3 linked regions of the Cricetulus griseus genome follow. The protein of the gene in region 3 interacts with the protein of the main gene of each other region in a pairwise test. Links are inferred from orthologs where the notes say so. Each region holds a gene or a part of one and is shown on either strand. Other genes may lie near its edges.

Evidence for each region. The genes of interacting proteins can lie anywhere in the genome.
Region 1: the proteins of Disc1 (region 3) and KAT8 regulatory NSL complex subunit 1 interact in a two-hybrid assay, tested with the Homo sapiens proteins (2 studies listed by BioGRID and IntAct). The link is inferred for Cricetulus griseus from reciprocal best matches to the Homo sapiens genes DISC1 and KANSL1.
Region 2: the proteins of Disc1 (region 3) and Kif3c interact in binary tests that used the Homo sapiens proteins (3 or more experiments, as listed by UniProt). The link is inferred for Cricetulus griseus from reciprocal best matches to the Homo sapiens genes DISC1 and KIF3C.

The regions. Positions count from the first base shown.
Region 1 is NC_048600.1:117,491,150-117,502,053, reverse strand, and holds the start of KAT8 regulatory NSL complex subunit 1, read left to right. Parts: upstream 1-5,606; 5' UTR 5,607-5,722; intron 5,723-10,904. UniProt on the Homo sapiens protein: Non-catalytic component of the NSL histone acetyltransferase complex, a multiprotein complex that mediates histone H4 acetylation at 'Lys-5'- and 'Lys-8' (H4K5ac and H4K8ac) at transcription start sites and promotes transcription initiation.
Region 2 is NC_048600.1:14,281,434-14,292,398, reverse strand, and holds the start of Kif3c (kinesin-like protein KIF3C), read right to left. Parts: upstream 5,299-10,965; 5' UTR 4,495-5,298; coding exon 2,944-4,494; intron 1-2,943.
Region 3 is NC_048596.1:201,875,308-201,885,566, reverse strand, and holds part of Disc1 (disrupted in schizophrenia 1 protein), read right to left. Parts: intron 4,519-10,259; coding exon 4,398-4,518; intron 1,390-4,397; coding exon 1,154-1,389; intron 1-1,153. UniProt on the Homo sapiens protein: Involved in the regulation of multiple aspects of embryonic and adult neurogenesis. Required for neural progenitor proliferation in the ventrical/subventrical zone during embryonic brain development and in the adult dentate gyrus of the hippocampus.

The sequences.
Region 1 (10,904 bases), on a different chromosome or scaffold from region 3:
TTACACATGGTTGTGAGCCACCATGTGGGTGCTGGGGACTGAACCCAGGTCTTCTGCAAGAGTAGATTACACTCTAAACCACAGAGCTACCTCTCTATCCCTTCCTCTGGCCCATTTTGTAGATAGTAAGCAAGAGCTATACTGAAAGTGATCTAACCAGAATTAGTCAACTGAGAAAATATGAACTTGCAGATAACTTTTTAAAAAAATTATTTTACATGTGCATTCTGTATCATTTCCATCCCTGTGTCTCCCTGCTCTAATTCCTTCTGTGTTACTTTACTTCCACAATTAGATTCCACATCAGATTCACAACCTGTCCTTTAACTAAAAGGCAGGATCCAGAATAAAGAGAATCTCTCCTAGGCCAGCCTGGTCTATAGAATGAGTTCCTGGACAGCCAGGTGGTTACACAGAGAAATCCTGTTTCGAAAAACCTAAAAAAAAAGAGATAGGTCTTGCTATGTAGCTCAAGGTAGCCTCCAATCAAGACCTTCCTATTTTGGCCTCAAAAGTGCAGGGATTCCACATCACCACAGCTGGCTAGAGATGATTTTTTATGTTATCATTACTCTTGAAGAATAACTAACGACGTAACTAACGACATTCCACCCAAGTCTCTATGTCCTCATGACCGTAGATCTGCAACATGCCTCCAGCGTCCTTTCTCCCTCTGTCCTTGGGCATCCAGGACAAGAGCTCCCACTGAACTATTCCCCCAGCCCTTTCTTTTTATTCAAAGAAAGACAAGATGCATGTGTATTCTTTCTTCAGCCCTCATTCTATTCCCTTGTTCTTTGTGTCACAGGGATATCAGACATCGGACCATGGGAGGGGGAACCAGAAAGTATTTGGAGGCAAGGAAGGGGAGAGAGACAAGGAGGAGGGACCAGGAGTACAAGGAGGGTGGAGAGGATAATCTCTTTAGGTTAGGTGTTTTGGTTTTGTTTTGTTTTTTTGTCTGTGGTCCACAGATTAAGAACTCCATGAAGTTTTGCTCCAAATCATGAGAAAATTAACATTTCCTCCAATTGCAAATGTAAACAATAGAACCTAGTTTTAGCAGTACCTGTGACTTTGCCACCAATGTTTAACGTCATAGTATATGACAGTTGTTTCAGATTTCTTTAAAAAAAGGACTCAAAGTTAGAACGGTCATTCAATTAATTATTATTTGATTGCCATTAAAAGGCACCATATTGCTACAGTATACTTTTAGCAATATTTTGAAAACTCTTTTTTTCTGTAGCACAGTTTCCAGGTCCTTGATTAATACCATGTACCACCATTCTTGTCCTAAAATTTTAGGGGCTGGAAAGATGGTTCTAAGGTTAAGAGCAATTGTTTGTTCTTGGGAAGGACACAGGTTTTGTTTCTAGCAGCCACACAAAGGCTCCAGCAGTCTGTAACTCCAGTTACTCCAGGGATCAGTGTCTAGCCTCCAAGGACACTAGGCATGTCCACAGTACATTTTACATACATATACATAAAATAAGCATCTTTAAAAAAGCATAGCTATATTTTATTATAACTAGTTTTCTTTGCATTTCTCTGTTCCCCAGGTGATCCTCCTGGGTCAATCTGGCTGGCTGCCTCTGGATTCCTAAATGCATTTGATGTAATTTAGAAACATTCTGAGATAGAGTCCTTATGTGTCACTAACACTAAAAAAGTTAAGACTTCTGATTTATGGGTGTTTTCTTTTTAGTTCTTACTGTCACCTGTACAGTAGGGCCTGACGAGTCCTTTAAGTGACTTCAAGACCTAAGGCTCTCTTGTTTTTTGTTTTTTTTTTTTTTTCTTCAAGACAGGGTTTCTCTGTGTAGCTTTGGAGCCTATCCTGGCACTCACTCTGGAGACCAGGCTGGCCTCGAACTCACAGATATCCGCCTGCCTCTGCCTCCAGAGTGCTGGGATTAAAGGCGTGTGCCATCAACGACCGGCTTCTCTTGTAGTTTTGTATTCTTTCTGCAGTAGACTCTTGCTCCTCTGCCTTCATGCTGCCTCGCCAGTATTTTTCATCTTAATTTTAGTTGCATTTTTCTTTTTACAATTTGAGAAAGTCAGTCCTTTAGCGTGTCAATTAGCTCCTCATCTGTGGATTGTTTACTGTCTTCTGTGTTATGGAATGCCTTGGGACACACTTATTACTAGTATTTGAAGCTGAACAAAAAAAAAAAATAAAAAGTAAGATTCCCCACTAAATCTGGATATTGTCCTGATTTTCTTTTCTTTTTTTTTTTTCTTTCTTTCTTTTTTTTTTTTTTTTTTGGAGACAGGGTTTCTCTCTGTAGCTTTGGAAGCTGTCCTGGCTGTAGACCAGGCTGGCCTCGAACTCAGAGATCTGCCTGCCTCTGCCTCCCGAGTGCTGGGATCAAAGGCGTGCGCCACCAACGTCCGGCTCTTTTTTTTTTTTTTAATTTATTCTTCTCTCATATTACATCCCAGCTTCCACTCCCATTCTCTCCTCCGTGTCCACCTCTTCCACTTCCCCTCTCCCTCAGATTTATTCCTCTTATTTTTCCCTTCAAAAAAGAGCAGGCCTCACAGGGATATCAACCAAACATGGCATAACAAGTTACAATAAGCCTAGGCACATGCCCTAAAATCAAGACTGGACGAGGCAGTTGGAGGAAAGCAGCCCCCTCTGCCTCTGTTAGGAGTCCCACGAGAACAACAAGCTACACAACCATACGTGTATGCAGAGGTCTTAGGTAGCATCTACAGGGTCCCTGAATGTCGGTTTTATCTCTCTGAGTCTCTAGGAGCCCCGGTTAGTTGATTCCATGGGCCGTGTTCGTGTGGTTTGTTTCTAATTTTGTGACCTGATTTAAAGATTAAAAAAAAAATTAATACTCACTTTGTTAGCCCAAGCTGGCTCTTGAACTTATTACTCTTCTACCTTGGTCTCTTGTGCTAGAATCACAGGCGTAGGCCATCACGCTTGGCTAATATATATATTATATATATATATATATATTATATATATATATGAAATGTTTATGAATGGTATGAAAATCAGTATCTACAAAGGATGTGCCTGAGATTAAGTCTTTCACTCCCTTGGTCTGCTGGGCAATCCATTTCATCCCAGGAGGTAACCACTGTTCCCACCTCTGAGAGTGATTTTTGACTATCAGCTCTCTCAATTCCTTCCTGGTCTGTGAGATGTGTGGCCTTTCCAGGCCCTCATGACCTCAAATCTGATTGACTTCATAAATTAGCAATCATATGTGTATATTTAATGTACATACACAAAATCTCTCTCCCTATGGCCTTCCGGGCCCGGTTTTCATCACATCGCTTCCTGGATGAAGAACCTGGAAGGGTGAGGGGCAGGGGTTGGGGGTGACAGAGAAGAGGACCTGAGGGACTGTGGCCAGGGGTTGAGTGGTGGACTGCTGTGAAGCACTGTAGGGTTTCCTATTTTTATTTTTCCCACTAGGCCCCCTTCCAATTCGGTCCAGCTCAAGCCTCTCCTTTCCTAGGGCCGAGACAGAGACAGGAGAGATACAGAGACAGAGACGCCGAGGCACCAGCATCTCTCCCCCCCCCTACACCGTCCCGCCCCACAGCTCTGACGGACGTCAACTCGCAGCCAATGACGCTCGCGAATTGCCTCGGACGGGCCAATGAGAGACACAGGAGGGCGAAAGCTTGCCCGCCCCCCCCACTCTAGCTTGGTTGAGCCGTGCAGGTAGGTCCGGGGCCGGGGAGCTGCCGTTGGCACTACTGCCCCGGGGTGGGGGCGCGGCGGGTCGGGGTGATGGTGGCGCAGAGTGGGGCGTCCCGTCCGGGGACGTCGCGGGGGGCGCCGCCGCGGGCGGAGGGAGGCTGAGGGGTCGCGGGAGCGGGCGCCGCCGAGGGCCCTGAAGGCGGCCGGGCTGAGGACGCAGGGACGCGTGTGGGGCGCGGGACCCCGGCCCGGCGCCCACCGCCAGGCCTGGGCCTCGGGCCATGGGCCGCGGCGGACCGGGAGACGGGAGGCCAGCGGGCCGGAGCGGGGGCGCGAGCGGTGTCCCGGGGCCCAGGCCGAGCGAGGTGGGACGGACCGCGGCGGGCAGGACGGAAGCGGCATCCCGCGGGCCGCCCCCTCCTGAGGCAAGTCGGGCAACGGCCACGGGCTCCGGCCGCGAGCCCCGGCCCCGGCCGCCCCTCCTAACAATGGGACCGGGCCGGAGGAGTCGCGGGCCGCAGGGGGTGGGGGAGCTCCCGGACGAGGGTCGGAGGCGGGGGAGGGGCGGGACTGGCGCTCTCTGGATCTCGGCCCCGAGGTTCTGTGGAACCTGGGGGTCGCGTCGCGTCGCCTCGCGGGTGGGGGCGGGGGTGGGGAGGGGCGCTCAGGCTCGCCTGCGAGTCGGGTCAAGAGTCAAACTCCTCCGGTCCCCACCCCCCAAATCCGGTGAGCGGTAGGCAAAGTGATGCCAAGTCTCCCTAACCGAAGTGACAAACGCGGAGACAGAGCAAACCCACCCCAGTGCTTTATTTTATTTTTAAAACGGGGGACCTCGACTCTGAATTTAAGAAATTATTTTTTTAAAGAGGTGAGTGTGTTATTTTTGTGTTCCTACGCGGGCAAGCCTCCATTTTAAGTGAAGCAGTAACTGGTTAAGCTGGAATGTTCATTCAGGCCTAGGACTTAAGGCTCCTACAAGGAAGGGGTCATTTAGTCCATCCTTTTGCGTCCCTACACACTTAGCACCCACCATCTTCAAAATTAATTCCTCTGGGCTGCTTTTAAAGATCTCTGGGAAAGAAGGATCTTTTCTCCCCCCCTCCATTTTTTTTTTTTAACTTGTAGTACTTCAGTGAAGAATAGCAACAATTATTATAATGATGATGATGTAGAATCAGCTCTGAAACTTTATTTATTTATTTATTTATTTATTTATTTATTTATTTATTTTGGTTTTTTGAGACAGGGTTTCTCTGTGGCTTTGGATCCTGTCCTGAAACTTGTAGCTCTTGTAGACCAGGCTGGTCTCGAACTCACAGAGATCCGCCTGCCTCTGCCTCCTCAGTGCTGGGATTAAAGGCGTGCACCACCAACGCCCGGCTGAAACTTAATTTTAAGAAAAGTTAGGACATTGGAGTTGCCAGAGAGGTTTACATTTATTAAATAAAAGTAGCTGTAGACTTTTTTTTTCCGGTGACGAGTTAATAAATCACTTTCAGTAGTGCTTATGAAATAATACTCTGGGAGAATGGGAGAATAACTTTTCCTCCTGGATTTTGGTTTTCTGAATCTTTAATAAGTAATTTTTGATTATTTAAAATTTATGGTCTCTGATGTAAAATATACATGTGAAATTCCCTTTCCAAAGAGAATTGTATATTGTACCTTTTGTTGTTGTTTTTGTGTTTGATACCATCTCAACAAGTAGCCTTGCCTGACCCTGAACTCACTAAGTATACCAGGCCAGTGTTGAACTCCTAGATGACAGCCTGCCTCAGCCTCCTCTGAGTGCTGGGATTAAAAGTGTGTGCCACACCTGCACACTTTCTAGGATGGTAAGGCAGTTGGCACTTAGCATCCTTCCCAGATAGAATAAGCTATTTGCATATTCTAGATTATTGTCATCTAAATGAAACATCCTCCTTTTCAGATCTTGCCACTTTTATCCGTGGTAACTGAGGGGATTTCTTAGTCTCTCCCTGCTTCTTTCTGAGGCTCATCTGAACTATTCCTGACACTATGAATGCTATTTGGATGCCTCTTAAGGTAAGATGTATTGGTTTTTCCTTATTACTTCATATGAGTGTTTTAGAACCAAGAATATTTGTTTGCTATTTGTGTTTTGAGACAGGGTCTCATGGTAGCCCAGGCTGCCTTGAACTTTTTAGATTGCTAAGCATGCCTTTAACTTCATGAACTTCCTGTCTCAACATTCCAAATGCTAGGATGTTCTTGAATTTACAACTCTTCAATTACCTTACAGGATACTTATCCTGAGGACTATTAGCTTCTTAGGATTTGTATTATTGCTGTTCTTGATTGGTGTTAAAATATTAATGAAGTTCTCAAATTAACTTTTATTATAATGATGAGTTCATTTTTTAAAATAATTTATTTAACTTTATTTTATGTGCATTGGTGTGGAGGTATCTGGAACTGGAGTTACAGACAGTTGTGAGCTACCATGTGGGTGCTGGGAATTGAACCTGGGTCCTCTGGAAGAGTAGCCAGAGCTCTTAACCACTGAGCCATCTCTCCAGCCCCAGAGTTCATTTTTTTTTTTTTTTTTTTAAACCTTAAATTATTACAGCTTGCATACTAGTAAAATTCTGTTCCAAACCTGGCTTATGGGGTTGGCAATTCAGACTTTGAGGTCCATTTTCAAACAGGTACTTACTTTAGAGTCATATGAACTTGGGTGTGTCCCACTTTTGCAAATCAGAGCTGATTCATGTGTTACAAAAGATGTGTCATTAACCATTTGTTTACTCTGAAGTTTCATATAGTATATTAAGGTTTATGTGTACAACTCTTCATCTGCTGCTCCTTAGGCCAGTTCATGAACCCTTACACTAATTTTTTTCAACAGGTAGCCATTGTGTCCTTTCATTTCAAGGGCAATGTGGGACAGTGACCATTTGTCTCTTATGGTTCTTTCTGATCTGTTCGGAGATGGCAGAAGAACTCTTGGTTAGGGCTAAGCAGAAGACTGAGCTTAAGGCTTGAAAGTGAGGAAGTGAGAGGGAGGACCAAGAACTGATAAGTAGTGCTAGAAGTCCTCTGTCAGCCTCGCCTTCCTTGAGAGTTAGATAATGATATAGTTAAGATTGTTTTGATCTGCTCCATGTAATTCCAGAATAGTATAGTGGGTAAATCAGAATAATGCAGTCTGTGTAACCTAAATATTTGGACTTTTGGGAAATCTTTAGGTAATGTAGACTGGATCTTATCCTCACTTTTGTTCTGGCTGCTCTTGTTGGATGAGTGCATATATTAATATAAAGGGGTCCAAAGTGACTCATTCTTTGCAGTCTTTTCCCCATGGTACAGCTGGAGGGATTGAATGGGGAAACAGTCTGAAGAATCGATTGCCTAGGAACTGGAGGACCTTGTATAATTGTGTTTTCATTTCCTTTTTTAAAAAAATACATTTATTTTTATTTATGTGTGTTGGTTTTTTGCCTGCATGTATATCTGTGTCACAGTGTCAGAACTCCTGGAACTGGAGTTGACAGACAGTGGTAAGCTGCCATGTGGGTGCTGGGATTGAACCCTGGGTCCTATTAGTTAGTATTCTTAACTGCTGAGCCATCAGGACTTGCTGACTTCTATGACCAGTATATTAGATTTCATGTTTCAGCTTCCTTGGTTTTAAGGTATTAAATATATTGAGGCCTACTTTTTAAAGATGTGTGAAGTGTTTAAGGTTTTACCTCTAATGGTAAACCTGGGGAATTACCAGAGTCCTTTGACTTGTCGGAAATACAGTCAGTGTCCTATAGTAAGTATGAATTATTATCTCTTAACTACTCGAGAATGTAATTATGTGGCTGCCTTAGTTTTATGTTTCCTACCAATCCTTTGATCGGTGTAAAACTGTGCTAAGTTTAAGCTTTGTTGTTTTGAGATAGAATCTTGCTATATGGTCTAGACTGGCCTAGTACTCTAATGACTCTGCCTCCCAAGTGCTGAGATTTCAGGCATAAGCCATAAACAGTTTTTTTTTTTTCTTCACATTTTCTACCTTTATTTTTTTTTTTTTAGAAATCAGTTTTTTTTTTTTTTAATGTATTTACTTTTTATATGCATTGGTGCTTTGCCTGCAGGTATGCCTGTGTGGGAGTGACAGATCTTGGGAGTTACAAACAGCGTTGAAGTGCATAGGGGTTCTGGGATTTGAACTCCGGTCCTCTCGAAGAGTAGTCAGTGCCTTTGACCGCTGAGCCATCTCTCCAGCCCCTTCCTCCCATTTTTTATACTTAACATTTCAAAATACGTTTAAATTGGCAGAAACAGTACGTTTTTTTCTATATTTTCAAATTAGAGTTTTTTTTATTTTATTAATTAAATTTTTTACTTGTATTTTATGTATGTTGGCGTTTTGCCTGCATGTATGTCTGTGTGAAGGTGTCAGATCCCCTAGAACAGGAGTTACAGACAGGAGTTACAGACAGGTGTGAACTGCCATGTGGTAGGTCCTCTGGAAGAGTAGCCAGTGCTCATAACCACTGAGCTATGTCTCTAGCCCTTTGTTTTTGTTTTTGAAACAGGGTTTCTCTGTGTAGCCTTGACTGTCCTGGATCTCTGTAGATCAGGCTGGCCTCAAACTCACAGAGAACTGTCTGCCTCTGCCTCCCAAGTGCTAGGATTAAAAGCATGCACTGCCACACCACCACCAAGTTATATTTTTAAATAAAAAGAAATGAGACTTTAATTAAAGTGTATACATCATGGCAAATGTTCATGTTTCTTTTTTTATATGATGCTGGAGATCCTAGATAAGCATTATATTGCTGAACATTAGCCTCAGCCCCTAAAATTTCTGTATTTCTTTGGCTTGTTTTCAGATACCTTATTTTATTCTAATTTAGTTTAAAATTTTATATTTATTTGTGCTTGCACAGATGTACATGTGTGCACACATATGGGCCATAGTGCAGGTGCTGGGTGGAGGACAGAGGACAGCTTGTGGGAGTTGGGCCTCTCCTTTCACCAAGTAGGTTTCCAGGATCAACCTCAAGTCATTAGGCCTAGCAGCAGGTTTTTTTTTTTTTTTTTTTTTTTTTTTTTTAAGATTTTATTTATTTATTATGTATACAACATTCTGCTTCCATGTATATCTGCACACCAGAAGAGGGCACCAGATCTCATAACGATGGTTGTGAGCCACCATGTGGTTGCTGGGAATTGAACTCAGGACCTCTGGAAGAGCAGCCAGTGCTCTTAACCTCTGAGCCATCTATCCAGCCCATTTTGTTTTTTGTTTTTTTTTTCATTTAAAAATTATTATTTTGTTTTATATGTGTCGGTGTTTTGCCTCCATGTATATGTGTGGAATTCTGAGCCACAGTGTGGGTGCCAGGAAATGAACCCAGGTCTTCTGGAAGGGTGGCCAGTGCTCTAACCATTGAGCCATCTTTCTATCCCCCAAATAATCATCTTTACATGCTGAGCTGTCTTGCTGGTCCCTAGTTAAATTATTTATTTTACTTTGTTTTTTTATGGGATATGGTATCTTTATATAGGTAGCCCTGGCTAACCTAGAACTCACTATGTAGACTAGACTGGCCTCAAACTCAGAGATTTACTTGCCTCTGAATCCTGAGTGTTGGGATTAAAGGTGTGTACTGCTACACCTGGCCTAATTTATTTTTTTCATGTTTACTTATTTCTGAGTGTGTCTGTGTGTGTATATATATGTAGCTTACAGTTTTCCTTCTGCCATTTGGGTCCTGAGGATCAAACTCAGGTTGGCAGACTTGGCTTGCTGTGCCTTTATCTTTGAGGAGTTTGCTCTGTCCTTGTGCCTTTATGTGTTTTCTAGGAATTGAACTCAGGATATCAGGCTTGAATGGCAAGAGTCTTTCCCTGCTGAACCCTCTTGCTTGCTTTTTAAAAATTTTTTAATTTGAGCCGGGCATTGGTGGTGCATGCCTTTAATGCCAGCTCTCGGGAGGCAGAGGCAGGTGGATCTCTGTGAGTTCGAGGCCAGCCTGGTCTCCAGAGCAAGTGCCAGAATAGGCTCCAAAGCTACACAGAGAAACCCTGTCTCGAAAAACAAAACAAAAACAAAAAAAAAAAAAAAAAAAAAATTTAATTTGAAACAAGTTCTCACTGTTACCTTGGCTGTTTTGAAACTCCTCATAAAGACTAGGCTGGCCTTGAATTGAGAGAGATAAGCTTGCCTCTGCTCCCTGAGTGCTGGGATTAAAGGCATGATCCACTATAACTGGCTTTTTATACTTTTTGTTTGAATCAAATCCAAATATTTGAAAACAGAATTCAAAACTAAGTGGAAACTAACAGGTAATTCCTTACATCTTCCTTTGTTGGAAGAGAGGGAGGCAGGTTTTTGAACAGTGGCTAAAGTGATGACCTGAAAATGGTCTAGTAATTTAGAACATATGTTGCTTTGGGATGTTAATTTTTTTTTTCTTTTTAAATTCTTTTTTGTTTTTTAAAGGATCAAACTCAGGTTGGCAGACTTGGCTGTATAGCTCTGGCTGGTCTAGGACTCACAGAGATACATCTGCTTCTGCCTCCCAAGTGCTGGGATTAAAGGAATGCACTACCATGCCTGGCTGGATTTTAATAATAATAAAAAAGATTGTTAATTTTATTTATGTATGTATCTGTGTGTGCCACATGTGTGTGGGTACTCAGGAAGTCCAGAAGCGGATGTCAGATCTTCTGGAGCTGGAGTTACAGGTGTGGTTGTTAGTCACCCAATATGGCTGTTGGGTATCAAACTTGGGTCCTCTGCAAGAGCAGCAAGTGCTCTTAACTGCTGCTATATCTCTTGTCCCCAAGAATTTTTTCCCCCAACATGGTATCAAGTAGATTAGGCTGGCTTTAAGCTCATGATGTAGCTGAGTATGACCTTGAATTCCCCCTGCCTCCACTTAAGTGCTGGGATTAAAGGCATGAGCTGCCATACCATGCCTATTTTTTAAAATTACTTTATACATATGGTTGTTTTGCCTGCATGTGTATATGTGTACCACATTCTTGCCTGATGTCTAAGGCATTCTGAAGAAGGAATCAAATCCCTTGGAACTGGAATTACAGACAGTTAGCTGCCTTCTTATGGGTTCTGGGAATCAAACACAGGTCCTCAGGAAGAACAGCAGCAGGTACTCTTAAGGATTGAGCCATTTCTTTAGCTTCCCCCTTGCCCATGCCTAATTTTTTTAATGTAGTGCTAGTGATCCCAATCCAGGGTTCTTGC
Region 2 (10,965 bases), on a different chromosome or scaffold from region 3:
TTGCTTGAGCAGGGGTAATGGTTTCATGGTTAAGAGTGCTTACTGCTCATCTAGACTGCTCAGGTTCAGTTCTCAGTACCCACACGATGCCTCACAACTTCCTGCAACCCAAGTTCGAGGGGATCTGATGCCCTCTTTTGACTGATCTCTGCAGGCTCAGGCACACACATGGTGCACATAACTCAGGCACACATGTACACATAATAAATATACCTTTAAAATTACTTTCATGTATTTAATGGTTGCTGGAGGAGGAAGACACCCCCACAGTGGTCTAGATACTGGTAAGGTGCCCATGGTTTTGTAAGCAACCTTAATGAAACTCATTGGGACATACACAGACAGACTCACACACACACACACACACACACACACACACACACACACACACACACAGGAAAAGCAGAAGAGGTGTTGATTAAAAAGAGTAAGGGGATCATTGGAAGTAGGAGGAGAACAAGAGAGGGCATAAGGGGCAAATATAATCAAAATACATTATACACATGTATAAAAGTGTCATAATGAAAAATTGTATATAATGAATATATACTAATAAGGAAAGAAAAAACCAAATTATTTCATCAGGAATGTAAACAACAACGGGAAGAGGCTAGACTAAGCATGAACAGTCTGGGCTCTGCTCAGGCCACCTGTGCCAGACCCTGAGCCAGACCTACATTGTTACTCCAAGGCCCCTGCCAACAATAAGATTATAATGTTGCATTGGGTATACACCTAGTGTAGGAATTCCAGTTCTGGCTACCCAGATCTTTGTATTGATCAATCCATTGACTGAGCTACTTGTGTTTATTTTCAAAACAGGGTCTCATCATGTTGCTCAGGTTGGCCTGGACTCCTGAGCTTGAACTATTCTGCCTCAGTCTTATAAGCAATTGGGACTCCAGATGCATCCCACTATGCACAACTCCACCCTGATTTCCTGACTGTCCTATTACCTGTGTTCTTACATTGCCTTAGACGCAAAAATCTTATGGAAAGATACCAGTCAGTTCCCAACAAGAACATTAGAAATACCCATCTGCACTTTCTTCCTTTATCAGCCTCTGTTACCCCCACTGCCTCCCAGCTTAACACGGTAAGGGATACCTTGGAAAAGAAATCAATGACTGATGGACCAGATAGAATTTTCCACTCAATAACATCACCCTGCATGTTAGACTCTCTCCCTGCTAAACAAGACTGGACAAGCAGCCTTGCCTTTAATATCCTGCACCTCCCAGGTACCAAGACCCTGGTCCTTCCCTTGAGGAAGCAGCTCAATATAACCCTAGTTGAGCTTCTCTATGAGTGAATTAAATATTAAACACGCCAGGCCACAGCCCCTGGTGCAGCAGCATATCCCAGTACATAGACAATGCACATAGCTCAGTTGTCACTCTTCCACTGGCTGTGGGCTGGGCCTCCCCATTCCGAGCCCACACTCCTAAGAAGAAATAAGAATTGACAGTGTTTGATCTTCCAAGCAAACTCATGGTTCTCCATATTTTTCCTCCAACCCCAGTGTTGAAGGCTCCAGGGATCCGGAAATGCCTGGAACACTGGGTTGTGACATCTGCAGCACTGAAATTTAACAGGGATCTGCAGCTGGGGATGTAGCTCAGTTGGTAGATGTTTTTCTAGCATGCACAAAACTCTGGGGTTGATCTCCAACTGTGCACAAAATCATGCATGGTGATGGTACTTGCTTGTAATCCTAGCAATCAGGAGATGGAGGCAGGAAGATAATTAGTTCAAGGTCACCCTCAGCTACATAAAGAGTTCTAGGCCAGCCTAAACTACGTAAGATTCTATTTACAAAGAAGAAAAAAAAAAGGAGTAGGAAGAAATTTAACAGGTCTACCACTGACTCAATAACCTAGGTTCACATAGGGCGAGAGGTTCTCTCAGAAGTGGCCAGCTCAGGAAGGATGCTGAAGCCCTGGCGACTCTCAGGACAATGATTGACACGAGGCCTCGTTGTGTAGGCCAAAAATGTTTTGTTCTTTTTTCTCAGATTAATATAGGCCATAGAATTATCAGATTGGTAGATACTCAGTGATCCCTCAGGCTAGCATCCTACTTTACACAAAGGGAAATGGAGGTAAGAGGAAAAGAGAAAAACACTGCCAGTCACTCAATGAGCTGTTGCCTAAGAGGCATAGACTCTCTGGGATAGATCCCAGTTCTCTCTCCATCCTACTTCCTACATGACACTCTGAGTCTCCTTCCTAATGTCACCAGGAGTAGGCCTGGCACTGTGTCATCCAATGGGTCATTTCCATAGGAAGCAGGATTCTCTCACCCTCATGGTCTGGCCTTGCTACTGAAGACTAAAATTATGAAGTCTGAGGGTACCAGCTCAACTCTGCAGCTCTGAAGAAGGGAACCTTGGTCCTGTCACTTTCTGAGCCTGAGCCTTAATTCCTCATCCATAAGATGAGGATTTAAAAGCCACTATGTTGAAGGCTCTTGTGAAGATGAGACAAGGTGAGACGAAACTTGGGTATTTTGTAAACAGTGATGTGCTGTCTGAACGTCAGATGCTATTAATATATGAGGTCTGAAGACACCAAGTGGTGGAGAGTATCAGGGGAGGAAGTCATAAGGAATGACAAGCCACACTCACAAGAGGAGAGTCCTGAATGGGATTCTCATAGACCTGACCAATCCCGGGGCCATTTGGAGATGGACAGCAGCAGGTCAGACCATCTCAAGTCCACTGGTTCAAGAACCTGCCCACTCTGCTTGGTGTGTGTGAATGCATGCAAGTGTACCTGGCTACCTAGTATTATAGTGCTTTGCTAAGCTGCTCTGGGACAGTTATCAATATGTGGTCCTAAGGTGGCATAGCCCACTTCAGGCCAACTCACAGACCCTCAAAGGAAAGAAAATCTACCAATCAAAATCCTTGTGGGGACCTCTCTCATCCTCTGGGGTCCTTACCTTGTACTTGGCTGCAAGCAACTCTGTGGCCTGCTGCTCCCTCCGCAGATCCTCCAGCATCTTCTCCTTCTCTTCTAGAAGCTTCTGTTTCTCCTCACTCACTAGGCTGCGGTCATCCTGGATGGCGGCCTTCTCCTCCTCCAGCCGCTCCTTCTGTTCCTGCAGATAATTCTCCATGTTCTTCTCCAAAGCTGACTCCAGAATGGGCTGGGGTGGGCGGTGATTGTTATTGTTGTCATCTTCTTCTTCTGCCACCCAGGCCTCAATCACTGGCCCCTCTGGGTAACCTGCTGGGGCTGACACAGCCTTCTTTCTGCGGCTGCTCTTTCTCCGAGGTCGCTTACCCAGCATCCCTTTCTTCTCCAGCTGGGCCTTCAAGCGGGCGATCTCTTCCTGGAATTCCCTCAGCAGCGTGTCCTTAGGGTCCTCATTCACCCGGGGTTTGTTCTTGATGTTCTTGGCTCGGTTTGCAAAGCGTAGGGTGGAAAGGCTCTCATCGTAGCTGTGAGAAGCTGGACCCAGTGTGGCCACCATGATGGTCTTGGCATTGCCCCCCAGTGAGTCCTGGAGCAGCCGGGTCAGTTTGGAGTCCCGGTAGGGGATGTGGGTGCTCCTGTTGCCGGCCAGAGCAGCAATCACATTGCCCAGAGCAGACAGTGAGAGATTGATTTTGGAGGCTTCTTTAGGCCTCTCTCCGCTGCTGCCACCGCCGCTACCGCTGCCACCTCCGCTGCCACCACCCACTGCTGGCTGTGTGGCTGGCCCTCCAGTTGTGTTGGGACCTGCCTTGTTTTGCCTCTCACTACCAGCCAGGTCTACCAGGTTGAGCTTGCCCACTCGGATATGGTCCTGGCCATCTGAGCCACGCTCACTGCACTCCACTGTAATGACAAATATGGCATGGGACCTGGAGCTGACCTCATTCATGTGGGTGCTTCCCACTGCCCGGGTCTGGTTCCCCAGGTTCATCACATGTTCAATCTCCTTGACATTCTTGGTGACAAACGAGGAGAGGTCCTTGATATAGACCCCTGTTTCAGGATTCTCCTTCAACTCTAGCCTCTTGCCTGGCTCTTTGGATAGCAGGTCTCGGATCTCCTCCTGGTAGATCTCCAAGTAAGAGGCACGAACCAGGTACTGCTGGTTCTGGGAGCGGGAGATGTGGGTGAAGATGTGCTCAAAGGCATTGGGGATAACCCCTCTGAGCTCTGGCTCCACCCAGGTCCCCTGCATAGTGTAGGTCTTGCCGGTGCCGGTCTGGCCATAAGCAAACACGGTGCCATTGAAACCCTGAAGCACTGAGTCTATCAGGGGCCTCACCGTTTCATCATACAGATCGGCCTGCTTGGAGCTAGCATCATACACAGCATCAAAGGTGAAGGTCTTGGGCAGTTCCCCGGGTGCCGCGCGGGGGTTTCGCAGAGTCACCTGGCCCAGTTTCACGTCCATGGTCAGAATCTGCTCATGACCAGCAGCCTCCTCCTTCCTACTGAGAGGGCGGCACCGGGCCACCACCTTCAGGGCCTCGCTGGCCTTGGTCTTACTGGCCATCTTGGGGCTCTGTCCTTCCAGAAGGGCCGCTCTGCAACCTGGGAGGTCCTCCTGTCCTACTCTTAGGTCGGGATCAGCCAGGCTGGCCCAGCCCCCAGACACCGATCTTCAATCCGCATGCAGCCTACCAGGGTGGGGATGCAGGGAGTCGGCCCAGAGGCTGCTGCAGTCCAGGCCTCCACAGCTCTCCACAGCTTTCTGTGCACAGACTGGAGAGGTAGAATTAGGCAGAATCCCCAGGCAACCGCGCAAGCAGCTCCTGCCGAAGGGCAGTGCCTGGAACCCGCCCCATACTGGGGCAAGAGGGAGCGCTACGGTAAACAGCTTCGGCAACAATGAGATAAAGGAAGAGGAAAATGTGATGGGGGTGGGCGGCAGAGCTGTCTTTTCCTCCTCCTTTTTCCTTTCCCCTAGGGATCCATGGCGGGGGATGCGGGACCTGGGCGGCCAGGGAATCCCGATCCTCCCGAGGGCAGAGGCTCACCTGGAGTCCTCCCCTCCGGCTGGGGGATCATTCATTGCAGACACAGCTGGCTGCTGCTGCCTCTCCTGCGCCTTCCCCGCCGCCGCCACCGGAGAATGAGAGAAAAACAGAAGGGGTTGGGGCGGAGCAGCGGCGGCGAGAGCGATGTTGCTGCGGCCGCTGCGCTGCGGCCGGGGCTAGGTCTCCCGGCTGGGGTGGGGCAAGGGGCGGGGCCGCGGGGCGGGGAACAAGAGCCCGGCCTGGCCCTTGCGCGAGGGACAGCGGTGCATCGCCACCCGCACCCCGCCGACCCCTCAGGGATGACAGGCTCGGGTGCCCACCCAAGTCCCGCGCCCACCAGTCGGATGCGGCGCAGCCACCGCCCGCCGTCACCCCACCGAACCCGAGCATGCTGGGAGATGTAGTCCCTCCTTTGTTAACAGGGTTCTGTCAGGTTGCTAATGCTTTCTCCAGCCCTCAAGTCTGGGAGCCCCTCCTCCAGCATGCAAACCCCCACTCCCCGAGTGTGTCTGCTGAGGCTGCACCACCCACGCGTGTTCTCTCTGCAACCGCCATTCTCGGTTTCTCACTGCTCCTTCCATTTTGCTTGCAGATGGGGACATGTCACCGTCCCCCACTCTTCAGGGTGTCACCAGGCCTCCTGGAGCTTAACTCCTAAACATGGTTTACTCCCTATTCTGGTTTACTTCTGCCTGGCCTTCCCTGTAACACTCTGCTGGAAGCACAGTTAACTGATTCCCTGCCTCGTGCCTGCACCAAGCTCTAACTCCAACCACTTCTCTATAACCTTCCATATCCCAAGAAGGCCTGTCTATCTTCTGACCTCCCGGCCTTACCTCCACTTACTCCTGATAACAATGCCATCACACTTTTCTAGCTCTCCCGCTGAGCCCCAGGCCTATTCTAGTAGCAGGACCCCTATCATATAAGGGGCCATATACTTAATAGGGCTCATTCTGCCGTGTTGTGCACTGGTTAATTTTTGTCAACATGAACTAGAGACTCCTGGAAAGAGGGAAGCTCAGCCGAGGAATTGCTTCCTTCAGGTTGGTCTGTGGAGACATATTCTTAATTGCTAATTGATGGAGGAGGGGCCAGTTCACTGTGGGAGGTGTCACCCCTGGGTAGGTAGTCCTGGGGTGTATGAGAAAGGTAGCCTAATGTGAGCCTGTAAGCCAGCCAAATAAATAGTGTTCCTCCATGGTTACTACTTCAAGTTCCTGCCTTGATGATGTACTGGAACCTGTAAGCCAAACATACCCATTCCTCTCCAAGTTGCTCTCAGCAGTGTTTTATCACAGCAACAGAGAAGCAAATTAAATCGGAAGCCTTCTTTAACTGGTTTGTTTCCATAGCAGAAAGGATGGATTTACATAAAATAAAAAAGCTTGGGCCTAGCATTCTAGTTCCTGTGTGATGGTGTATGTATGTGTTTGCAGGGGTGTGTACACATGTACATATGGGTGTGTGTCCATGTGGGTGCCTCTCCAGGCCAGAGATTAACCTCATTTGAAAAAATGACTTTAATCCCGGCACTCAAGAGGCAGAGGCAGGCGTATCTCTGTGAGTTCGAGACCAACCTGCTCTACAAGAGCTAGTTCCAAGATAGCCTCCAAAATTAGGTGCCTGGAGAGATGGCTCAGTGGTTAAGAACACTGGCTGTTCTTCCAGAGGTCCCAGCTTCAATTCCCCGCACCTACATGGCAGCTCACAACAGTCTGTGATCTGGCAACCTTGCACAAACATACATGCAGGCAAAAATGTCAATGCACATAAAAATAAGTTGATTATAAATAGATTGATTAAAAAATTAGCCACTAGTGGTGATATATGCTTTTAATTCCAGAATTCAGGGGGCATAAACAGGTCTGAGTTCAAGGCCAGCCTGATCCACAAAGAAAGTTCCAGGACAGCCAAGGGCTAGGCAGAGAAACCCTGTTGTTTTTTGGCTTGTTTTTAAATGTTATTTTATGTGTTTTGCCTGTTTGTATGTATGTTTGTATCTCCAGCGTGTTCCTGGTACCCACAAAGGTCAGAAGTGGGAATTAGAGTTGTGGATAGTTGTGAGCTGCCAAGTGGGCACTGGGAACAGAACCAGGGTCCTCTGTAAAAGCAACAAATATTCTTGTCACTGAGCCATCTCTTCAGAAGCCCCTGAACTTCATTTTTTGGGGGATGGGGGTGGGAGGCAATGTTCCTTCACTCATGTGGAATCCACTGACTGGGTAGACTGTCTGGCCAGTAAGCTCTAAGTATTGGCCTGTCTTTACCTCCCCAGTGCAGGGGTTATTGGAGATCACAATTCAATTCCTTGTGCCTGTGCAACACACACTTCTAGCTGAGTTATCTTCCCAGACCACATACATAGCTCCAGTTCTGATCTCCACCCAACAATCCACTCTGCTTCAGCCTTAGCTTCCTCATGTGCTTATAAATGGATTTGGGGCCTAGAAAGATGGTTTGGCAGATAATGATACTGGCTGCTCTTGCAGAAGACCTAGGTTTAGTTCTTAGGTGGTTCTACACAGTGGCTCACAACCATCCATGACTCCAGCATCCTTACTTCTACTGGTACCAGGAATACATGTGGCACACACGCATATATTCAGGCAAACACACAAACATATAAAATAGTGCAGGCAAACACTCAAATACATAAAATTAGCTGGGCCGTACTGGAGCACACCTTTAATCCCAGCACTCAGGAGGCAGAGGCAGGTGGATCTATGTGAGTTTGAGGCCAGCCTGGTCTATAAAGTGAGTGCCAGGACAGGCTCCAAAGCTACAGAGAAACCCTATCTTGAAAAACAAAAAAACAAAAAGTTACATAAAATAAGAATAATTATTTTTAAAATGAATTTGATATGTGATGTTTATTTTATCCACAAGCTTTAAAATAAAGTTTATAAAGAATTAAAAGAAAAAGGAGATAAAGGTAGGCATGGTGTCATCCACACTCAGAGATGGAAACAGGAAGATGGAGAGTTTAAGGTCGGCTTCAGCTACTGAGCAAGTTCAAGGTCAACCTGGGCAGCAAGAGACCACCCTTTTCCCCCATCTCAAAACAAACAACAAAGCTTGGCTCCTTGTGTCATCGCTATCCCTAAATCCTTAGAATTTGAATGTCAGCCCGGCCAGCAGCTTTAGGGTTAGCTGGTAGCTTGCCCACTTGTGAAGCTCCCTGGCCTTCCTCCCCACTCCGTTGGTCCAGCTTCAATAATGAACTTGGCCTTTGGAACAATTACTGGTGAAGTTTTGGCTGTGAAACTTTACCTTCCTTGGCCCTGACAACCTGACTTCTGGATACTATTTGATTCTTGAACTATTTCCTTGTTGGGCTTGGCTTGGCTTTTGCACGTCCATCTCTGTTTTGGCTAACTCATCCGCCACTACTGCGCTGGATAAAATGCAAGTGTATCCTGATCCTTCCATATTGGCACCACTGGCCCAGGTCCTTCCGTAAGGGAGCTGAGGGTGAAAAATAATCACTGCTTCCAAGATGCAAGTCCCTCTAAATTACTTAAGTCCTCTGAACAGCTATTTTCCCAGTAGGATAGGAGTGTTTACCTTTCCTCACCCAAAGATTAAGTCAAACGATATATGTGAGCTCTCTTAGGCCATAAAGGCATTCAAGGAATAGGCACACAGGCCTGGGGATCCGGCTTAGTCAGTAGACAACTTGCTAGCAGACATGAAAACCTGGGTTTGACCCTCAGCCTCCGAAAATCTGGGAGCAGTGGCACAAGTCTATAACCCCACTACTTGGAAAATTGAGACAGGAGGCTCAGAAGCCCACGGTCATTTTGGCTGTAAGTTCCTTCCTCGCCCCTCCATCACGCTCAAAGCTGTTTGCGTTTTGTGTCTTCCTTTCAGATTTGTCTCCACCGTTCTTTCCTGCCCGGTTCTCCAGTTGCTCTGACTTGCTTAAGGTCCCCCCAGACATGGCACTGTTTCTGTGTGTGTCCCGGTACTCGTTGCTCAAGATGCCCCCCAGACACCCCACTGTTTCTGTGTGTGTCCCGCTGCTCGTTGCTCAAGATGTCCTTTTTCCTTTATTCCTGTCGGCACAGCCTCGTTTCCCGCTATTCAACCGCATAGGGCTCCTGCTCACACCATTCAGAGACCCCTCTCTAACCGATACTACTTTTTCTGTCAGTAAGCTGCTCCGAAACTCCCTGAAAAACACACCCAGAGTCAGGCGGTGGAGGTGCACACCTTTAATCCTAGCACTCTGGAGGCAGAGGCAGGTGAATCTTTGTGAGTTCGAGGACAGCCAGGTATACAGAGTGAGTTCCAGGACAGCCAGGGCTACACAGAGAAACCCTGCCTCAGGAAAAACAAAACAAAACAAAAAACCCACACCCAGAATTTAGAACTTTATTTTATTTACTGTTGGAGAGACACAGAGAAAGAGGGAGAAAGCACAGGCAACTCAGGTCATCACAGTTGTGTGGCAAGTGCTCTGACCCACTGGCTATCCGTCTAGCCAGTGCCCTTATTCTATTTTTTTTTTCAAGACAGGGGTTCTCTGTGTAGCCCTGGCAATCCTGGAACTCACTCTGTAGACCAGTCTGGCCTCAAACTCACAGAGAACCACCTGACTCTGCATCCCAAGTACTGGAATCAAAGTTATGCATCACCACTGCCTGTCTACCCTTATTTTATTCTGAGACACGATCTTTCTAAGTTGCCCAGGCAGGCCTTGAATTTGCAATCCTTTTGCCTTGGCCTCCTGAGTAGCTAGGATTACACACGTGAGCCACTGTGCTTGACTTGAAACTAACTTACCTACACAGGAACTGGAATGCTAGGCCCACACTATATTTTTTGTAAACTTCATCCTTCTATCTGTTATCAAAACAAACCAGCAGAGAAGACTTCTGATTTAATTTTAAATTAATTGATTACTAATTAATTAACTAATTAACTTTGAGACTGGGACTCTCTATGTAGTCCTGACTGTCCTGGAACTCTCTGTGTAGACCAGCTTGGCCTCGAAGTTACAGAGCTGCCTCAGCTGCCTCCAGAGGGCTGGGATTAAAGCCATGTGCCACTATGTACAGCAATATCCTTGTTTTGTAAAGAGGGCCCAGCCTAGAAGTTTCAGTCTGATAAGGTGTCTAGGGGGAAGAAACCAAAATAATAGAAAATAAATTAAAGTAATAAAATCAAATAAATAAAGCCAATGAGAACACCCAACCCTGCCTGCAGCCCTGTGATCTTTCCTTTCTGTGGTGTCGAGTTGAGTTACCAAAACACCTGCTCATAGAGCCATCCTTGGCAATGAAAATGTTTGCTCATTATGTAGCCCAAGGTAGCCTCAAATTCTTTTTTTGTTATTGTTGTTTTGTTTTGTTTTTGTTTTTCAAGACAGGGTACCTTTTGGAAGCTGTAGAAATTTGCTCTGTAGAGCAGTCTGGCTTCAAACTCAAGAAAATCACCTGCCTCTGCCTCTGCCTCCTGAGCGCTGGGATTAAAGGCGTGCGCCATCACCACCCAGCTGCTAGCCTCAAATTCTTGATCTTACTGTTTCAGCCTTTGGAGTGCTGAGATGACAAGTGGGAACCACCACACTCAGTCCAGTACAGAAAGCTTTTTTTACCCCAGGGGATTCCCACACCAGCTGCTTCTTCCAGTGAAGACCCAGTGACAGTCAGGTTACAGCCAAAAAACTATACCAAGAAGACAAAATACACTCATCCGTCAGTGGGGGACTTAGGGCTTGGATTTACTATGCAAAACCAGATCTGGTCAGCAGAGGGAGACATGGCTACGTAACAAAATTACTGCATTGGCTGGCAGAGTCTTGGCTGTCAACCACTCAAAGGTTATCTAATTTTAGTCCTTCAATGTAATTGAGTTTAGATTTAATTTTTAAATTTTTTTCAGGTTATTTAGATCAATACCCCATATATAAGAAGCAAATTCTCCACCATTTAGTCAAATCCTCAACCCATAAGCCTAGTTTTTTTATATATAATTTATTT
Region 3 (10,259 bases):
TAATTGATGTGACCCACAAAGTAGCTCTGCCCAGGACCAGGCATTTGACATTGCTTAGCCAGCAACAGCAGCAACACAAGCTCATTCATCCCAGTGACCTGATAAAAAAATACTGCTTATGTTGCCCTCTTGGTTTATTTGTTCATTTGTTTGGAGTTTTTGTTTGGTTTGGTTTGGTTTGGGAGTTTTTAATTTGGTTGGTTGGTTGGCTGGTTGGTTGGGTTTTTTGTTTTGGTTTTTTGGGTGTGTGTGTGTGTGTGTGTGTGTGTGTGTGTGTGTGTGTGTGTGCGCGTGCAGAGGGAGGGTCATATATCTTCCTCAATCACATTCTGTCTCATCTTTGTAATATAGGGTCACTGAACCTGGAGCTCATTAATTCAGCTAAACTGGCTAGCCAGCAAGCCTTAGGGATCCTGAGTCTGCATTCTCAGAAATGGGGTTACACTGCACCCAGATTTCTATGTGGGTTCTGGGGATCCAAGATCAGGTCCTTGCGCTCATGCAGTAAATACTTTTGTAACTGAAAATCTCCCCAGCCAGCTCAGACTCTTCCGATGCCACAGCCTACCCCCCAAGTCACACTCTTCCAACGCCATGCCCTACCCCCCAAGTCACACTCTTCCAATGCCATGCCCTTTCCCCCAAGTCACACTCTTCCAATGCCATGCCCTTTCCCCCAAGTCACACTCTTTCAATGTCACATCCCATCCCCCAGGTCACATTCTTCCAATGCCATGCCCTATGCCCCAAGTCACACCCTTCTGATGTCACACCCTACCTCTTAGAAGTGAAATCTCTTTCCAGATAATTGTCTTCAGCAAAAGCCAATGTCAAAATCTCTATCCAACTGACCCCAAATTTGGGAGGGAAGGGGAAAGGAGAGACAAGCCAGCCCCTTGGAATTTTGGAAACTGCCTATTGGAGAGGGGACAGTGCTGGCAGCTAGGGATTGGGTGGACTGGATGCCAAATAACTCCCAGTGCTCAGAACTGACCCCGCAGTGAAGAATCTTACATCTCAACACCACCAGCACTTCCACTAAGCAAACAAACCACCTGAGAAGCACCTGTGAACAATGAATGGGCAGCAAAGCCATCTCAATAAACAGGTGAAAGAGGGAACGCTGGAAAATCAGTTAGAAAATCACCAATACCTCCTAAGGGTTTCAGGTGGCTCCACACAGAAAGGAGCCTGGCTGGCAGAGGTCAATGTCTCTCCCAAGGCCTTGCTGACTTCCTGCAGCTGTCCTGGGGACAGCTGGGCCACCAGTGGCATCAGATCACAGCCCTGCCACTGGAGCAGTGTCTCCTGATCCTCCAACTCTTGGCTCAGCTGTTGTTCTTTTGCCTCCAGCGCAGACATCCTTGATTGGAGAGCTTCGATTTCCTTCTGCAGAGAATGGGGGAACAGATTTCATCCATTAACCCTGCTCTGCTACTAATGAATCGGTTAAATGAGAGCAGGCCATATGCACCACAATCTCGGAGCCCACCCCACTCTTCCGAGGCAGGCCAATTCCAGAAGTCTGCTGAACTGGGAAAATCATGCCAGTTTTATGTTTCTGATGAGTTGGCAGGAAGAAAAACATCCTCTCCTTCCCAAGCATTAAATACGGACAAGCGCTAGCCAAGGTTTTGACTTGAGAGAACCCAGCAAATGATGTATCACTGGCTTCGCTTCTGATGGGGAAGCAAAGGCACTAGCCACTCACACCAAACACTGAGACACCAGCTGTGGGCCAGGAGGGGAAAGGGCAGCCTGCTCCCAAACACAAGAACTTAGGATGTACAAAAACACAAGAACCTTGGCTTGTCGGGTCAATAGGATTGGGAGAACAAGATTTGTCGAGCCAGAGTCTAGTGTCCTTCAGACTGTTGGACCAATTTACTTCCCAGGATTGGTGAGAGAACTCCATCAGTCAAGTGCTTGCCATGCAAGCATGAAGAGCTAGTTCTGATACCCAGAACCCATGCAAAAGCTGGGGACCCACAGAATGAATCTGCAAACCCAGCATAGGGTAAGGGGAGGTAGAAGACAGGAGGATGCCAGGGACTTGCTAGCCAGCCTGTCTAGCCCAATCAGTAAAGTGTAGATTCAGTGAGAAACCCTGTGTCAAAAAAATAATAATAATAAGGTAAAGGGATATTGGAGTAAATATCAAATATCAACTTCTGTCCTCCACATACATGTGCACATACATGCACCTGTGCCCACATTCAAACTCAAACACACACACACACACACACACACACACACACACACACACACACACACACACACACACAATTTGCCCTAATTTATTAAGCTGGAATCTAAGTTAATCCATAACCATCATCTGTCTCCAGGCCAAGAAATAAACAAGCAGCAGGTAATTGAACACAGTGTGAGCTCAGCACTGGGCAGATAGCCATCTCACTGCGTAGGAGTCTGAATATAACACCAGGCTCTACTAACGGACACACCCCCTGTTCCCTCACTGTTCCTAGCTGATAAGAGTACAGCTTAATTCCTGATATCTCCCTATCTCCAGGATGTTCTCTCCACCCACAGTGCAGATTCTCCACAGCTTCTACCTCCTGCACCCACCCAGAGAAGAGAGAGGGCTGAGCTAGCCCACAGTCTCAGTGTGCTCAACAGAAACTCAAAACTAACCACTCTGTGAAACCCACACTCTTTGTTGCTCTCATTTTTGTTTTGTTTTGTTTTGGTTTGGTTTTGGTTTTGTTTCTCAGAGTCAACATCTCACTCAGTAACTAGCCCAGAACTCATCTTATAGCCCAGGCTTGAACCTATAGCAATAAAGCCTCGGCCTCCCCATACTGGGAAGACAGACTCAAGTTTTTCTAAACTATAGTAAAAAAGACATAACAAAAGACATGGCATCTCCACCATTTTGCATGCACAGTTCAGTAACATAGGCACACACACAAACTGGGCAAGCATCCCCACCATCCAACCACAAAACTCCGTCTCCATTAAACACCAACTCTCCATCCCCCTGCCCACCCACACACCATCCCCTCCCCTGCCTCCCACCAATCTGCTTCCCTACTGGAGGATTTCTTCTAAGTAGAATCTTACAGTATCTATCTTTCATGACTGGCTTATGTGGCATAACACACTGTCCTCTACATTCACCCGCACTGTGCCCTGTGGCACAATGTCCTTTTCCTGAAAGGTGAATAACAGACCTTTGCATCCACACCACATTTGGCTTATCCACCCAGCTGTCATCAACTATAGTAATCCAGATGTCTCATCTAGTCTGTGCTTTTATTTCTTTGCAGGTGCATAACCACAATGGGATCGCTGGGTCCTAAGGATTCTATTTTTAAGTTTTTGAGGAACTGCAATCTATTTTCTGTGATGATCCTACATTTTTCCTCTTTTGTTATTTTTTCCATTTTCGTGTGTGTGTGTGTGTGTGTGTGTGTGTGTGTGTGTGTGTGTGGTATGTGTATGTTTGCATGTATGTGGGTATGTGTGGGTAGGATGCCTATGCATGTGGTTGGGTGTGTATGTGGAGGCCCAAAGTTGATGTTAAGAATCATATTTGAGGGCTGGAGAGGTGGCTCAGTGGTTAAGAGCACTGGCTGTTCTTCCAGAGGACCTGGGTTCAATTCCCAGCACCCACATGGCAGTTCACAACTGTCTGTAACCCCAAGATGTGACACCCTATCACAGACATACCTGCAGGCAAAACACCAATGCACATTAAAATAAATAAATTATTTAAAAGAATCATATTTGATGGCCTTTCCACTCTATTCACCGAGGCTCTTCCATGATTCCAGTGTTTCTCATAGCTCCCAGTTCCTGCTCCAGGCTTTAGGCTCAAGTATGCCCACACCCCACCACTTCTCTGTCCCTGCCCCAGGATATTTACTGTTTCAAAAACTTCTGGAGCCCCTCCTGGCTCTGGTCTCACTTTGGATCCTCATTCAGAGTTCTAACCCTGGGCACTTCTTGGCCAGATGTCACCACTGCTCTGCACCAAGCATGGCTTCCATATACCTGCTGGTCATTACAGATGCAGCCTCATGCCGAGCCCAGGCATAAAACCATGTCCCTTAACAGTTACTTCCCAGAGTTCACCATGATAGGAATTCACACAAAGCATTCCCAGAGCACAAACCTCTCCCTGTCCCTCAAAGGGGAGCGTCTATGGGTCAAATAATGGGAGAAACACTAGCTACAGTCAGAGAGCAGAGCCAGAAGGTTCTGAGGCCCATAATACTGTGCAGGTGCCTTTGCAGGTTCCTCTGTGCCCTCCGGCCGCAGCATTACCTCTGCTTGGAGCCCTTACACTCAACAGTGTGAAGACCGACTTCACTGCATCTGACTCACATGGATAAGAAAAGGGCCAGTGCCTCTCTGGAAAATTCTATACCACTCACCTGCAATTGCTGTTTCTCTCGAATAAGCCAGTCCCGCCTGGTGATGGATGCAGATGGACTATCCTGGGCAGTGGTCCTTGGCTCTCCATCAAGTGGGGCCTCTGGAGCATCGCTGCCAGACCTGCAAGTAACAGATATGCATTGGTACAGGTGTTGTGGAACATAAGATGTGTTATATTTGTTTATGCTGTGGAACATTTGTTTAGTGATGCAAAGATGTATTGCCTTATTTTATGTTGCATTTGTTTAACTCTGTAAAGCTGTGTTACTTCACCTGTCTCAAACACCTGATTGGTCTAATAAAGAGCTGAACAGCCAGTATTGAGGCAGGAGAAAGGACAGGCAGAGCTAGCAGGCAGAGAAAATGAATAGAAAGAGAAATCTGAGAAAAGAAGATACAGGAGGACATCAGGGGCCAATCACCCAGCTAAACAGCAAGCCACAGAGTAAGAAGGAAAAAAACGTATACAGAAATAGAGAAAGAGAAAAGCCCAGAGGGAAAAGATAAAATAATTTAAGAAAAGCCTGCTAGAAACAAGCCAAGCTAAGGCCAGGCATTCATACGTAAGAATAACATTTATTTGGGAGCTGGATAGTGGGCACCAAAGAGCAAAGAGTAAAGAGTATAAAACACAACTGATTACATACAGGTGTAGTGAAGCAGACATTGCCAGGTCTACATGTACTTAAAGAGTGAGAAACTGCACAAAGCTTCCCCAGTCACAGGGTCACCCAGGCACTCACAGGGCTGAAGTCCCTAATGTACATGTTTCAACTATAATCTGTCACGTAGACCAGGCTAACTCATACCATCCTAGTTGCCTGTCTGTTGCTATGATAAAACACTCTGATCATAAAGCAACTGAGAGGAGGAAGCAGTTTATTTCGGCTTCCATCCTTCCACCCTCACTAGCCTGCTGTCTTATAGAACCCAGGACCACCAGCCCAGGGGTGGCCACACCCACAATGGGCTGGGCTCTCCCCCATCAATCACTAATTAAGAAAACTAATGCCCTACTGACTTGTCTACAGCCCAATCTTATGGAGGCATTTTCTCAATGAGGCTCTCTCCTCTCCAATGACTCTAGCTGTGTCAAGTAGACACATAACTAGCCAGCCTGTCACCTGCACTCCTGCACTTTCCAAGACACCCCAGGTCGTACGACTCACAGAAAGTTCAGACACCTTTTCCCCCTTCTATCACATCCCACCCTCCCCTGTGGGGCAGTCCCCTGAGAGGCTCTTCCTAGGACAGCACTGGATAGGGAGAACACGGTTCACAGAGGTCAAGGCCACAGTGAGAACTTGGATTTGCATTTCTCTGGCGGTGTCTTTGAACAAACCCAACCCTCTGAACCTCACTGTCCTCCTCATACTGGGCTACCTGGAGAAGGAAGAAAGACACCCTGTCCTTGGGGCATTTGCTGGAAACCTCCAACGTCTCAACATGTGCACCAGTAAAGTGAACACCGGACCTGTCTGGCGGACACACTCCTACACAGGATGAACTTTAATATGAAGACAGCAGCACAACGAGCCTCTTCCGTGTATAACGGCTCTATGGTGCTCTTGGCTTCCAACAGCTGTGAAAAGAGGGTGCAAGCCCTTCTCTGGGCTCTGGGCTCTGGGCTCTGGGCTGCTACCTGCTCTTTGGGCTGGACTGTGAGTCTCTGAGGGAGACATGGCTCTTCTTGTGCCAATGTTCCCAGTGTCCAGCACTGAGCTGGGACTCAGCTAACACCTGCTGGGTAGCTTAATGAGTTCATAGCCTTGAACATGGAGAAGTCATTCCCACCCTGTCTCCCGCTGCATTTGCTCATTTCTTCCCCTTACTTATTTCCCAATGTGTTTGGTCTATGCTGATATTAGAGTTCATTGAATTTCTCCATTCACTGCCATCTGGGTGGAGGTGGGAGCTAGTGTAGGAAGTCAACACAGAACTGAAAAATCAGCTGCAGAGAGAAGCTACAGGTGCAGAGCTGGGAACTAACTCTATGCATGATAGTTAAATCACATCCATTACCACCCCATAAGCCCCTGTGCTTAACCAACACCCCTCTGTCTGTCTCTCATACTCCTACTACCAGGACAGAAAAGAGATCTATGGAGAGCTAGGGGTGGCCTCAGGACACATGGCTCACATAGGGACGGGTTCCATCTTCCATGTTTTTGGTCCCCAGAGTCTCCCAATACTGCATACTCTTTTATTTATTTTTGTAAAGTCTCAATATGTGATCCCTCATGGCAGAGCAAATTGGAATCCTTGCTATAAACTAATCAGTATATAAAATAAGCAGACCCCTCCGGGGAAGATAAAAACCTGCAATAGCACGGAGGTGTAGGGGGCAGGGGTATGTAAGATCTAAGATAACACTCTCAGCCTTGGGGGTTCAGACTGGTACCCACTAGGACCAGCCCAGTTGTAGGGAATCTTCCTCTTTCTGACCGGAATCTTTCCTATCAATCACTGAAGGGATGAACCCCACCTGTAAAACCTGATCATGCACCACACAGAAAAGCACAGCTATAAAATGTACAGACAACATCTTTATTTCCTGATAACATCTTGTGAGCTTCCCTTCTGTGCCCTGGGTATTTATTATAACCTGAGGATCACTGGGCCCTGTGACACTTCAGTCTGCTGTGCTATCCACTTGAAATCAAAGGCTTGTATGCTCGAGAGGAAGAAAGGAAAAGCAGGCAGTCCAGGGTGGCATGCTGCCAGCCTACACTTACCATTTTGGTCCCATCTCAGGGGAACAGACAAGCAGCAGCTGTTACATCTGGACAATGCCAGAGTTCTATCATGGTCAGATTGGAAATCCTTCCTGTCCTTCATTTTTTATCTTTTTCAGACTCTGCTCCTGCATGTTTTAAGTTATCCTCTGGGGAAAGGTCTCTGATTAAAGATATTCTGTGTGTGTGCATGAATTTAGGTAGCAAGAGTACCAGTGTGGATGCCTATGCTAGTGAAGAGCCAGTGAGAAGTCACATGACATGGTATGCAATTAGGGGAAAACAAGGTATAAATGAGAAAATTACCAGTCAACAACAATGCTTGCCAAATACTCCAGAGAAAGGAAAATCTTTCCTTCTGACCCTGGTGTGTCAAAGAGGTGGAATTTTCCCCATTGTTCCAGAATCAGAAATGGGAGTTGACAAGAATAGGCCTAGAAGTATTTCACCTTAAGTCTATAACTGTGGGGTAGGAGCCCCCAGTGGGATGCCACCCTCAGCACCTCCTGCTTACCCGCCATCAGAGTGAGGTATGAAAACATACCGCCTCCCACTTACTGGAGCAGACAGAGAGCTATCCATCCTGCTCCCACAAAAGAGATCAGAAAGCCCAGGCACCTCAAGATGTAAGAGTGGAGACTGATTCTCCAAGGTACACAGCTGTCCAGTTTGGGTTCTCCTGACAGCTAGGCTTGAGGCAAGGATATGAGCAGATTGTTTTTAGAGAAACAACCATAAGACACCATAGAACTGGAACCTACAGGGAGAAGAGTCAGAAAAAAATATATAATCTAACTGATCATCACAGAGGCAACTGAGGCCCCATCCTACCAGGAACCTTCTAGAAGAAGAAAAACATGGCACATTGCTCAAAACTGCCCCTAGAGGCCAGGGCACCGGTGACTGTTGCCCTTGGGGTTATATTCATATGCAGCTGCCCAGGAAACAAAAATATCCCTCCACTGTCATCACCTTCATAATCATCATCACCACCACCACCAGCAGCAGCAGCAGCAGCAGCATCACCACCATCATCACCACCACCACCACCATCACCAGCAGCATCATCACCAGCATCATCACCAGCATCATCACCAGCAGCATCACCAGCAGCATCACCAGCAGAATCACTACCACCATCACCATCATCACCATGTACTTCAGTACAAAATTTTCCTTTTGTGATTTTCACTCACACTAATAGCAGAGTTTCAAAACTGTCTGGCAGAGAACCTAGGTAAAGTGCTAAGACAGTGACATTAATGTATCCTCAGCTGCAGAAGGTCCTGGAGGCTCAAGGCAAAAACGCGATGCCAATAGTGTCTGCCATAGCAGCTGTCACAACCCTTCCTTCTGACGTGGCTTGTCCTATGGCAGACATGGGGGAACTGAGCAGCATGGCAGACGGACATGGTCCATTGTGGGTAGTCTCAGCACCCATCAGCCCACAGCAGAGGTGTGTCAGCTTCGGCCCCATGGGAGAAGTGGGGCCACATGGTAAAGCAGCTATTGCTGAGGCACAAGAAAGTCATTTCAAGTCAGAGTGCAGGCCATGAGGTAGGGACCATGTGAGCCCCACAAGACAGTGAGCATACTGACACCTGCCTACAGAGGACATTGGCTCCACTAGCCAGGAAGCAGCTGTGACAGCAGAATAAGTGTCCGAACAGTAGGCAGAGAAAGCTATGAATCTGGCCTGTGGTTGGCATCTCAGAGTGACATGGCTATATGAAGAAAACAAAAAAGCAGAAATGCCCCAATGCCTATGCTATCTACCTGGGATACTGTAACCAAGTGGAGACGTGGATTTACCACACTGTTAAAGAATAGTGGTGCAGGCCTTCAATCCCAGCACTCAGGAAGCAGAGGAAGGTGGATCTCTGTGAGTTTGAGACTGCAAAGCAAGTTCCAGGACAGGTTCCAAAGCTACAGAGAAACCCTGTCTCAAACAACAACAAAAGGACAAAACCAGAGGCGGGCGAATCTCTGACTTCAAGATCAGCCTGGTCTACAGAGTGAGTTCCAGGACAGCCAGGGCCACACAGAAACCCTGTCTCAAAAAAAAAAAAAAAAAAAAAAAAACATCTTGAACTGAGGAGCAGCAGCGTCCACCTCACCCCAGTACTGGCCCCATTATTGAGCAACAGAGAATAACACGAAGGAGACAGTGTGAGGACTGATGGCCACTATTAGAGTGATGCAGCGACCTCCAAACCCCAGTGACTCAGGGGCTGATGTAAACAGTTCCAAGGGGAACAAAAACCACAAGCTGCTTACTTAAGAGGTTGACAGTAATTTTCAGAATAAGTAACAATAAAAATTAAGTGGCTGGTAGACTCTGGGGTTATTTACATCCCCTTAAATATTACTCTAAACTTTCATAGTTTGAGATGTTGAGACACTGCCTCCTCCTCCTCTTCCCATGGCCAAAGTGAATGGGAGGGCCTCATATCTGACGGTCTCTCATGAGACAGCCCCGACAGTTTGAATATGGGAACATACGTTGCTTTCATCAGACTCTCATAGAAACACTTGATCCCAGAAAGGTAAAGAGGTACTTATTTAAGTTACTAATTCGTGTTGAAAGATGGCCATGCTAACAAAACTATTTCATTTATGTAGAAAAATTCCCCAGCATACAGAAGAGCCTTTTCCCCCTGGACTCAGGGCCAAGCTCCTGAGAAGTTTGTATCCAGGTCCCCCTGGTGGTCATTGTGAGGACTGCAGGAACTAGCGTCTCCTGGAGAGCCTTCCAGTCCAGCGGGCCCTGGTGAGGATGAACTAACTCCTCAGGCTGCTCCGCACATACAAAGGCAGACCTTAATTATTAGCAGCTCTGTAACCATGCCCACGTGCTTTGTAAAGATGTGACAACAAAGCAGATATCAAGTCATTCTCTAGCTATGGTAGTAACAGGACAGGTGAAATTGACAAAAGAAAAAGTCAAGAATAAAATATAACTAAAGTGAGGAAGACAGGGTCCCTCACTTTCTGATGAGGCAAGTAGGAAGTATAGAGGTTACAGTCAGCCAGTCAGAGGAGGAAATGGCAGCACAATCCCAGTTCCCATCCTCCAGCCCTGGGCTGGGGCATCAGAAGCAAGACTGACCGAAGTGAAGGTTGCCC